Macaca fascicularis: one gene and its partners. The protein of the gene in region 2 interacts with the protein of the main gene of each other region in a pairwise test. Links are inferred from orthologs where the notes say so. Each region holds a gene or a part of one and is shown on either strand. Other genes may lie near its edges.

What was found.
Region 1: the proteins of ERBB3 (region 2) and HDAC6 interact in a protein complementation assay, tested with the Homo sapiens proteins (2 studies listed by BioGRID and IntAct, with this or other methods). The link is inferred for Macaca fascicularis from reciprocal best matches to the Homo sapiens genes ERBB3 and HDAC6.
Region 3: the proteins of ERBB3 (region 2) and PPM1B interact in a two-hybrid assay, tested with the Homo sapiens proteins (2 studies listed by BioGRID and IntAct, with this or other methods). The link is inferred for Macaca fascicularis from reciprocal best matches to the Homo sapiens genes ERBB3 and PPM1B.

Annotation. Positions count from the first base shown.
Region 1 is NC_088395.1:48,977,711-48,981,361, reverse strand, and holds part of HDAC6 (protein deacetylase HDAC6), read right to left. Parts: coding exon 3,628-3,651; intron 3,048-3,627; coding exon 2,979-3,047; intron 2,868-2,978; coding exon 2,675-2,867; intron 1,273-2,674; coding exon 1,123-1,272; intron 1-1,122.
Region 2 is NC_088385.1:62,869,418-62,873,068, reverse strand, and holds part of ERBB3 (receptor tyrosine-protein kinase erbB-3), read right to left. Parts: intron 2,159-3,651; coding exon 2,007-2,158; intron 869-2,006; coding exon 682-868; intron 1-681. UniProt on the Homo sapiens protein: Tyrosine-protein kinase that plays an essential role as cell surface receptor for neuregulins.
Region 3 is NC_088387.1:77,825,550-77,829,200, forward strand, and holds part of PPM1B (protein phosphatase 1B), read right to left. Parts: intron 555-3,651; coding exon 249-554; 3' UTR 1-248.

The DNA of each region.
Region 1 (3,651 bases), on a different chromosome or scaffold from region 2:
GTGTGGTGGCAGGCACCTGTAATCCCAGCTACTTGGGAGGCTGAGGCAGAGAACTGCTTGAACCCAGTGAGCCGAGATTGCGCTACTGCACTCTAGCCTGGGCAACAGAGCAAGACAACGTCTCAAAAAAAACAAAAAACAAAAATGAAAAGAAAAGAAAAGAAAAGAGAATAAGAGCACAGAAGGTTGCTGAGCCGATTAATATCTGAACAATGCATAACAGTAACCAGGGGCCAGGCGCGGTGCCTCACGCCTGTAATTCCAGCACTCTGGGAGGCTGAGGTGGGTGGATTTCTTGAGGCCAGGAGCTCAAGACCAGCCTGGCAGACATGGTGAAACCCCATCTCTACTAAAACTACAAAAATTAGCCGAGCGTGGTGGCTGGTGCCTGTAATCCCAGTGATTCAGGAGGCTGAGGTAGGAGGATCACTTGAACCCAGGAGGTGGAGGCTGCAGTGAGCTGAGATCGTGCCATTGCAGTCCAGCCTGGGTGACAGAGTGAGACTCTGCCTCAAAAAAAAAAAAAAAAAAAAAAGAAAAACAAAAGAACAAAAAACCAGATCCAACAGATTCAGCATTTACCATATGCCAGATATTCCTCCATGATTAGCCTGCCTCATAAAAATGAGGAAACTGAGGCACAGGGCATAGGGATACTGGGCCATTTACAAAGGTCAGTGAATTTCCTTTGTCCCAGGAACTTGTTAGAGGCAGTTTAGGTAGAGTAAAAAGTACAAACCCTGGAGCCAGGCTGCATGGGTTCAAGTCCTGGTTCTGCCATCAGTAAATGTGCCATCTCAGGCTAGTCATCACACCTCTTTGTGCCTCAGTTTCCCTGACCTTGAGAGAGGAAAATGAGGTAAGCTGACCCTACCTCATAAGGCTGCCTTGCCAAGTAACTGAATGAATAAGACACATGAAGTGCTCAGAAGAGTGCTCTGTACATAGTGAGCACTCAATTAAGGCTGTTAATGTTGCTGTTATTCTTATTACTACCCAGTATGTGCCAACAATCCCAGGCAGGGACACTCAAAGGAGATTTCAGGAAACTGTCCTGAGTGATGGTGCCAACATTTCCAAACTACCCTCCCACTGTGGGAAGAGGGACCAAGAGAGAATTACCTCTAGAATAAGGATAATGCGGCCACTGGCAAGGCCCATCAGCAGGTGGGTGAGGTGGGCATAACCCTCAGGTGACACCTGGCAGCCCCCCAGCGGGTCCCCCCGTGCAGCATCAAAGCCAGCTGAGACCAGCACCAGTTCTGGGTTAAACTGAGGCAGGGAGAGAAGAGATGTATAAGCATGAGGGTGGGGGCTTTTGGTAGATAGTAAGTGATGGCGACCCAGAGACATGGAGAAAAGGACAAATGAAGACATGGAGATGCCAGTCAGAGAGATGGAGACACAGGATCTGCAGACTGGGAGATGCAGAAGCAGAGACTGAAAATGAAGAGGGGAAGAAAAGAAATACAGACTCAGAAGAAACAGATGCAGACTTAGAGACCTGGAGACAGTAGAAAGGGACAGATGGGGACATGAGACATAGTCATGAGACATGAGACAGACTCAGATGTCAAGAGAGTGACATGAAAAACAGAGAGACAGAGACATGTCCTTACACACACACACCCCAGGGTCAAATGTGGGACACACATACACAACATATAGGGTTTTATATACATAGTGTCAAAGAGAGGTGTTTGCACACTTCCATAACAGAAGATGGCAATGCAAGTGCCACACACAGAGAAGATAGTCACACAGAGCCACAAGTACTGCCACACACAGTCCCATATAGACCAGTACTACATATCTGCACTAGTCATGTACACACACACACACACACACACACACACACATAGTTTCTCAAAGAGGACAGTAACCCACAGCCACCCTGCAGAGTCACATACACATGCCATTACCACACAGCAACAATGGTGACATGCACTCTGGTGTGTCCACAAGAGCTGGTTACTTGCACATACAGTTGTACACATACAGAAGGCTGTCCTGGCCACCCGCGCACGTGCAGATCCAAAGATGCACATCAGCGCCCAGGGTGACAGAGTGGTGCTCACACCCCCGCCCTCCCTCCCAGAGTCAGCCATACGCAAGCCACTAGCCCCCCAGCTCACACAGAGGGAAGGCAGCTACCTCCCAGTCAGAGACACACACATAAATAGCCAGGGCAGACAGCCAGACAGTGACTGCTGTAACACACAGCCTTTCACATCCAGAGGGTCCCACACAGGCTGTCACAGAGATGGTTGCATTTAGTGACATACAATATCACACCCATCACACAGAGAAAAGGTGATGCCTGCACAGAGTCGCACACACACATACTCAAGCACTTGTGATGGCACACACACAACACAGATCCAGCCAGGACACGGGCCACTGCTGCATAGTCAGAAGGCCCTCACACACACAGCCAAGATAGTCACCCACATAGTGTCACACAGAGAAGGCAGTCATATAGTCACCTGTGCACAGGCAAATACACAAAGTGATCACAGTCACCAATTGCCCCGGTAGCCTCATTAATCACCCATGGGCTGTCTCATATCATCAGCCACCTGGCAGTCAGACGCACACATGCTGAGGAGGCAGGTCCAGGCTGCCACCTGCACAGGCATGTCACATACATCCTGCGATCTATCCTGAGCTGTACCTCGTAGGCAATGGGAAGCACCAGGCGATGCCAGGCAGCTAGGTAGTCAGCGTCACCCATGCGGGGCCCGTTCCATGCCACGTTGACGGTGAAGCCTGTGCCAGCAGCCCGGCCGATCTGGCTGCTGGCACCCTCATCCCCCATGGGGAAGAAGGTGCCATGATCATAGCGGTGCAGGGACACATATAGCACACTGCCGGGGAGGGGGTAGGAAGGGGGCCATGGCTGGTTAGGGGCTCCAGTACCCCTGAGGTGCTCACCCACCTCCCTGATCACACTGCGGCCCCTGATTGCAGCCCCTTACCTGGGGTCATCCTCAAACATGTGCTGAGTTCCATTACCATGGTGGACATCCCAATCCACAATCAGGATCCTGGGGAGAAGACAGCACCTCAGTAACCTAGGATACTCACCCCCTGGAAGAGGGCTGGGCCAGACCCCTGGGGTCTGTAGGGGCATTTAGTGCTGAGTGGCAGGACCCTAGTCCTATCAGTTAAGGAGAAAAGTCTGATCCTGGTTCCCGAGGGCTGCCCTGTAGGCCTGAGCAAGTGCTCGGGGCTGGGCCCTGGGCTCTTCTGGGTCATTGCTAGGGAACTGGACCCTGCGCCTTGGGCAGCTAATGCTGGGGACTGGTTCTTGGGTCTTCTGGAGTATGCATCAGGAGCCTGGACCTGGGTTCTGTCGAGGCAGCTGCTATAGGCCAGAAATGCTGGGGTGGGACCCTGAATCCTGTTTTATAAGCACCCAGGTAATATGATCTGGGGGTCCTATCTAAATAGGCACTGAGAGGCTCCATCCTCAGTCCTTCTCTGGGTAAGGGCTGTACCCTTACTTCTTTCTGGGGAAGTCCTGGGGAGCTGGACCATGGGGCATGATGAGTAAGCAATGGGCTGGGGAGAGCATCCAGGTCCCCACAAGGATCAGGATTTGGGGGGTCCCCAGGGAGTCCTTACCGCAGGGCACGCCCACTGATAGCC
Region 2 (3,651 bases):
TATATTCCTCAGCTCATAGGGGTTTGGTTTAGGAGAGCAAAGGTAGAATTCCTAGGGAAGGAGGGACATCCAGGTATACTGTGCTTTGGCTTTTTTTTTTTTTTTTGAGACGCAGTCTCACTGTCACTTATGCTGGAGTGCAGTGGTGCGATCTCGGCTCACTGCAACCTCCGCCTCCCAGGTTCAAGCGAGTCTCCTGCCTCAGCCTCCTGAGCAGCTGAAATTACAGGTGCACACCACTATCCCCAGCTAATTTTGTTTTGTTTTGTTTTGTTTGTATTTTTAGTAGAGACAGGGTTTCGCCATGTTGGCCAGGCTGGTCTCAAACTCCTGATCTCAAGTGATCTGCCCTCCTTGGCCTCCCAAAATGCTGGGATTACAGGTGTGAGCCATCACGCCTGGCCTCCAGTACACTGTACTTTGAAGTTAGAGAAATGGTAACAGATCCGGCTCTGACTCCAGCCCCACCAGGACACATGGTTCCTTTCCCTGGAGTAGATGCCCCTAGCTCCCCCTACTGGGGGCCCTCTATTGCTTAGGGAGCAATGGACCATTAGACAGTTACCAAGGTGACAGGCACCTTGGAAAAGGCACTTAGAGTGGACAGCCTTGGGTCATCATCAAGCAGGTACCAGTCTGAGGGCTGAGGGGTGAGGCCGGAAGGAACCATCGGGAACTGACCGGTGAGCTGAGTCAAGCGGAGCTGGCGCAGAGCGTGGCTGGAGTTGGTGTTATAGTTCAACATGACGAAGATGGCAAACTTCCCATCGTAGACCTGGGTCCCTCGCACCACTCGGAGGTTGGGCAATGGTAGAGTAGAGAACTCATTCATGGCCACGAGGACATAGCCTGTCACTTCTCGAATCCACTGTGACAGAGCAGATTATGTCAATGAGAGAGACAACAGGGCAAAAAAATCTCAATCCCCTCTCCTCCTTCAGGCATTAAAGACTCTTAACTCTTAATTCTTCCTTCTTTCTTTCTTTCTTTTTTTTAAAATTCGAGACAGAGTTTAGCTCTTGTTGCCCAGGCTGGAGTGCAATGGCGCGATCCTGGCTCACCACAACCTCCGCCACCCGGCTTCAAGCAATTATCCTGCCGCAGCCTCCCAAGTAGCTGGAATTACAGGCATGCACCACCACATCTGGCTAATTTTGTATTTTTGGTAGAGATGGGGTTTCTCCATGTTGGTCAGGCTGGTCTCGAACTTCTGACCTCAGGTGATTCGCCTGCCTCGGCCTCCCAAAGTCCTGGGATTACAGGCATGAGCCACCGCACTTGACCTTTTTTTTTGGTGAGACGGTCTCGCTCTGTCACCCAGGCTGGAGTCCAGTGGCACAATCTCGGCTCACTGCAGTGTAAAACTCCTGGGCTCAAGCGATCCTCCCACCTCAGCCCTCAAGTAGCTGACTACAGGTGCGTGCCACCAGGCCCAGCTAATTTTTGTATTTTTGTAGAGACAGGGTTTCCCCATGTTGCCCAGGCTGGTCTTGAACTCCTGACCTCAAGTGATCTGCCTTCCTTGGCCTCTCAAAGTGCTGGGATTACAGGCATGAGCCACTGCACCTCTCCTTAACTCTTGCTAATTCCTATTTTGGAGTAGGGAGTAGACTGTGTCACACTACTATGTCACTTCTGGGAGTGAAGACAGGCAGCTTTCTCCTCAAAGCTCCTCATGCCAGGCGGGCCCTTTCTTCATCTCCCCAGGTACCCTCTCGGTCCTCAGGTGTCTCTCTGCGCTAGTCCCTGCTGACCTCGCACTACCACAGAACACCACCTGCCCCGCCCCTGCCTCTGCCCCTGCCCCCTATATATCCCTGGCTACAACAGCGAGACCATAGGTCCCAGATTACAGCCACTGTCCCCAGAAATACGCGGGTTTGGATCTTAGGAACTCCTGAGTCTTAGGAAGGGTGAACTCCAGCAGAAGGTAGCCCTGAAGAGGGAAGGAGGGTTCTAGGGGAGAATAAAGAGGAGCAGGTTGAGGAAGGAGGGTGCACATTAACCTGCAGGAAGGAGAGGTCAGCATTGTGTCCCGTGAGCACAATCTCGAGGTTCCCCATCACCACCTCACACCTCTCGTAGAGCTTGTACAGTGTCTGGTATTGGTTCTCAGCATCGCCGGTCACACTCAGGCCATTCAGAGTCCCAGGACACACTGTTCAAAGCAGAGGGAAGAGTGGCTGAGGGCTGGACACAAATTCACAGCCCATCTGCCATCCCCCAAGATCACCCCCTTGGTTGCCCTCTTCCAGTTACATTAGACAGGATCAGAGGGCATTTGCCTCCAACCCTCCCACAAGCGATAGGCAGAAGCTGTAGTGGCCTGAGAGCTTTCTCTCTTCTCAGAATCCCTTTACCATTCTATGAATGGGAAGGTGAAGATTTCCTTTTTCTACCTGAGACCCCTCTGTGCCTCTTTTGGGTACCACTCTGGGTACTAAGGGGTTAATAGAGAAGGATGACAGTGAATTTGTTTCCCTCCCTAGAAAAGAGAAGTTAGGAAAGGGCCGAAACTTTGATTACCCTCCTCTCCCCCTCCAAGCAGGGCACTCACTTCTCTACCCTCATCCTGCCTCTCTCTAGGTCCTGGAATAAATATCTCTTTGGGGCTAGTACACAGCCCCTATTGTGTCAACTGAGGGTGGGATGGGGGCAGAGGGTGGGGGCAGTGCCTGGGGCCACAGTCCAGCCCACAATGAGGCGATTCTATCCAGGAGGGGGGCTGCCCCACCCTATCCCTAGACACCCCATCCTCAGCAGCACTCCCCTCCACCCTCAAGCCTTGGGCTCAGACAAGTGACCTCAGTAGAGGAGGGAGCTCTGGCAGTGGTGGGGTGGGGGGGGGGTCAATGGGAGCTTTGTGTTTAAAGCTGGAAGATAAGAAGCTGGTTGCCTCCCCACGTTCCTAAACTCAGGCTTTCCTTCTCACTCTCTCTCCCTATCCCAACACACTCTAGCAACCTCAGCATCACTTTCCAGCCCTAGAGTATTTTTTAGCAAATACAGGGACACCTGGAGAGAAATAGTAGGAGATGCCCCACACTGAGCCTCCACCCAATTTCATTGTTAGAAGAGGTTCATGAAAAAGCCTTTCACCATGGCAATCCTCACCCGCACTAGGGGAAAGCCTAGACTAGAGGCACATGGCATGTCAGCCTTGGGAGTTCACTCTTTGCAAATGTGGTGGACAATGGCCTATGGAAAATCCTGGACTCTGAAGCCCTACCCCAGTCTCTTTCTTCTGGTTCAGCGAAAGACCACGTGTGGGGTGGGGAATAGGGGGTAGATACCACCTGTTCCAGCCACCCTTCCCTGAGGCAGTGGTAGTCAGTGGGAGGCAACAGTGGGAATGGAGGGAGGGAGACTGGTGAGGCCCCAATCCCTCTTATATACCCCTAGTCTGAATTCTTGACCTTGGAGGGCTCCTTATCACTCCCCATGAAGGTTGGCTAGTCCCAGCAAAGAGAGCTAGTTCCAGAGGAGCTGGTAACTCCAGGGTCCTTGGGTTGAAATGAAAGAGACTAGGAAGGTTAGTCATTTCTGGAACAGCCCCACCCCAGTCCCCTTCCTGGCAGGACACCCCCTTTCCCAAGTTATAGTGCCAATCCTTCTCCCCAGATAAGGGAGGAGCCAAGTTTTCTGCACAGG
Region 3 (3,651 bases), on a different chromosome or scaffold from region 2:
TTCATAATTGGTATCCTAATTTCTGGCATACAATGTGAAATGACATATAATTTCATTAATATAAATAGTCAATTTTACACTATCTCATAAAGGTGTATGCAAAGGCCTTTTTAAAAAACAAGGCTATCTGAATATAATAAAACTAGTTTTCCAAGATTCAAATAACAAAACGGTTATATAAATGCATACATTACACTTCCTAAGTTAAAAACCATCAAAGATCACAAAAATATTACCAAAAAGAAAAGTCATATTTTTTCACCACTCATCTTTGTCCCTGCATCTTCATTAGAGCTGTCTAATTCAGCAAGACCACTTTCTGATTCAGTATGGCTTTCCTGCATTGTCACTGGGTTTCCAGCATCACTGTTCGAAGAAGTAGCTGTGGCAGCTGGTTCAGCAGGGCTTTCTTCTCCCTCTACTTTAGCTAGCCTGTAACTAGTCAGCATCTCCTCCAGAAGTTGTCGGTAGTTTCCCCTATGATTAATTCTCATTTGCCTGAGAGCTTCCACCAATTTTCCCTGTGATCCACTTTCCTCTGCTTCCTCGGAGGCCTTTTTTTAAGATTCAAGACCCCAGTGTCAGTAGACAAACTAGGATATCACATGTATTTCATAACACATTACAGCAAAATACTAATTTCTCTACTGAAAAGTAATATAGTCTAAGCATGAGAACATTTTATTAAATATCGATTCTTACCTGTATCAATAAAAACTTCCAATTATAATATCTCAAGTCATTTTAAGCAAATTACCATTAACTAGTTTATGTCTTATTTCACAGTCATTTAAAATTTAATCTGAAATTTACTCAGCTTTTATAATTCAACAGCAACACAAGCATTTCCTAAAACTGACTTCCTTAAAAAAAAAAAACAATAATTGGCTATACGATTTAGTACAAAAGAAAATTAATGTTTAAAGCAGTAGGAAAAGGACAGAAAAGCAAGCCATCAGAACAATTTCTTCATCATTTCTGCTAAATGATAAGTAGGAAATACAAAACATAAAACTATATAGATTTAAACAGATCTTTGAAAGACTTTAGAGTTTTCACGGATAAAAATTGTATTTACTTTTTGCCCTTATTTTGATAAAAACATCTCTAGATAAAAATAAAGTATTTTAAGTATGAATAATAAACTACTCAATCCTTTCATATTTTAGTAAATGTTGGAAAATCTACAGGTTTCTACAATAGTAATTACTTTAATACTGTACAGAACAAGCTCTAATCATCCAAGCTGATCACAGTTAAGCTGACAGACTAAAATCAAGATACCCTTACATTATGTGCCTCTTGATATGATGCATTATACAGTCATGTCCTGTATTCGTGCCAAAAAATGTTTAGAATGAATCTAATAATGCTAATTCCCAGTTTACAGGGAAAAAGTGAATAGAGGATCAAGTTATAGCACAACATGAGAAAACAATCATATGAATTCAGAATGCAGAATGTACTATAAAAAACTGGCTCAGGCTCTTCAAAGTCAGTGTCAAGGGGAAAAAAACAGCTGAGGGGCTTGATGATTAAAGACTTGTTTAATGTGCTTGACTGATAAACTTGATTAGACTGGGATTCAAAATAACAATTACAATAGTCATTCTGGGGACAACTAGGGAAATTTAAACTTGATATTCGATATTATAAAATTTATTATTTTATACACCTACAATGTACCCACAAAAATTACAAATAAATTTTTAAAAAATTAATTTTCTTAGGTATAATAATGGTATTATGGTTATATAGAAAAAAGTCTTCATTCTTTTTTTGTGAGATGGAGTTTCACTCTTGTTGCCCAGGCTGGAGGGCAATGGCGTGATCTTGGCTCACCGCAACCTCCACCTTGCAGATTTAAGTGATTCTCCTGCCTCAGCCTCCCGAGTAGCTGGGATTACAAGCAGGTGCCACCACACCCAGCTAATTTTGTATTTTTAGTAGAGATGGGGTTTCTCCATATTGGTCAGGCTGGTCTTGAACTCCCGACCTCAGGTGATTCGCCTGCCTTGGCCTCCCAAAGTGGTGGGATTACAGGTGTGAGCTACTGCGCCTGGTTGAAACATGTCTTCATTCTTAAGAGCTGCATGCTTAAATGTTTACAGGTAAAATATGATGTCTGCAATTTGCTCTCAAAGGGTTCAGTCAAAAAAAGAAAAAAAACAATAGATACAGAAAGAAAAACAAAGCAACTATGGCAAAATGTTAAGTTGTTGAATCTAGATAGACAATGTACAGCTGTTCCAACATATCATATCCCCTTTTTGAATACATTTGGAAGTTTTCATCTTAAAATAAAATACAAAATAGGTTATTGATGCAGTTGATCTGACACAAACTCTTAACCTTCTTTAGAGACACTATACTACACTTTTAGAACAAAGATAACACTAATAAAGCCACATAATAAATGGCAATGTTTTATTAGAAAAATGAGAGCAGATGAATGTTATTTTTTAAAAAGTTGTCCCCATTGGCCAGGAGCAGTGACTCATGTCCGCAATTTCACCACTTTGGGAGACAGGGGTAGGAGGATTGCTTGAGGTCAGGAGTTCTAGGCCAGCCTGGGCAACACAGTGAGACCCTATCTCTACAAAAAATGTTTAAAAGGAGCACGCCCATAGTCCCAGCTACTCTGGGAACTGAGGTGAGAGGTTGAGCTAAGTCGAGGAGGTTGAAGCTTCAGTGACCCATGATCATGCCACTGAACTCCAGTCTGGATGACAGAGTGAGACCCTCTTAAAAAAGAACAAAAAAACAAATGAGTGCTTGTTAGGCTGAGGTGGGTGGATCATGACGTCAGGAGTTCAAGACCAGCCTGGCCAAGATAGTGAAACCCTGCCTCTACTAAAAATACAAAAAATTAGCAGCACGCGGTGGCAGGTTCCTGTAATACCAGCTACTCGGGAGGCTGAGGTAGGAGAATCGCTTGAATTCGGAGGGCGGAGGTTGCAGTGAGCCAAGATCACACCACTGCACTCCAGCCTGGGCGACAGAATGAGACTATCTCAACAACAACAACAACAACAACAACAACAACAAAGTGCTTGTTTTCTTGCCTCAGACATGTGGCGGGGTGGGGAGGGGGGAACGGGGCGGGGAAGTGTCCTCATGGCAAAAAATGAGATGATACTGGGCCGGGCACGGTAGCTCATGCCTGTAATCACAGCACTTTGGGAGGCCGAGGTGGGTGGATCACCTGAGGTCAGGAGTTTGAGACCAGCCTCGCTAACATGGTGAAACCCCATCTCTACTAAAAATACAAAAATTAGCTAGGCATGGTGTGTGCACCCATAATCTCAGCCACTCGGGAGGGTGAGGCAGGAGAATCGCTTGAACTCGGGAGGTGGAGGAAGTTGCGGTGAGCCAAGATCACACCCACTGCACTCCAGTCTAGGCATCTCCCCAAAAAAAAGAGATGATACTGTGTATCGCCCATGTTTTTTTGGGTACATATACGTCTGTGTATCTGTTCATGTTAGCATATGTAAAAATACCTGAAAAGAAAGGAAATACAGCAATACAATGATAATGGGCAGGGAGTTCAGATACTTTATTTTCTTTGAATTTTCCAATTTTGCACAACAAGCATATTAGCTGTCTTTTAATTTGCAAAATTTATTATGTGGACTTAAAACATGTTTC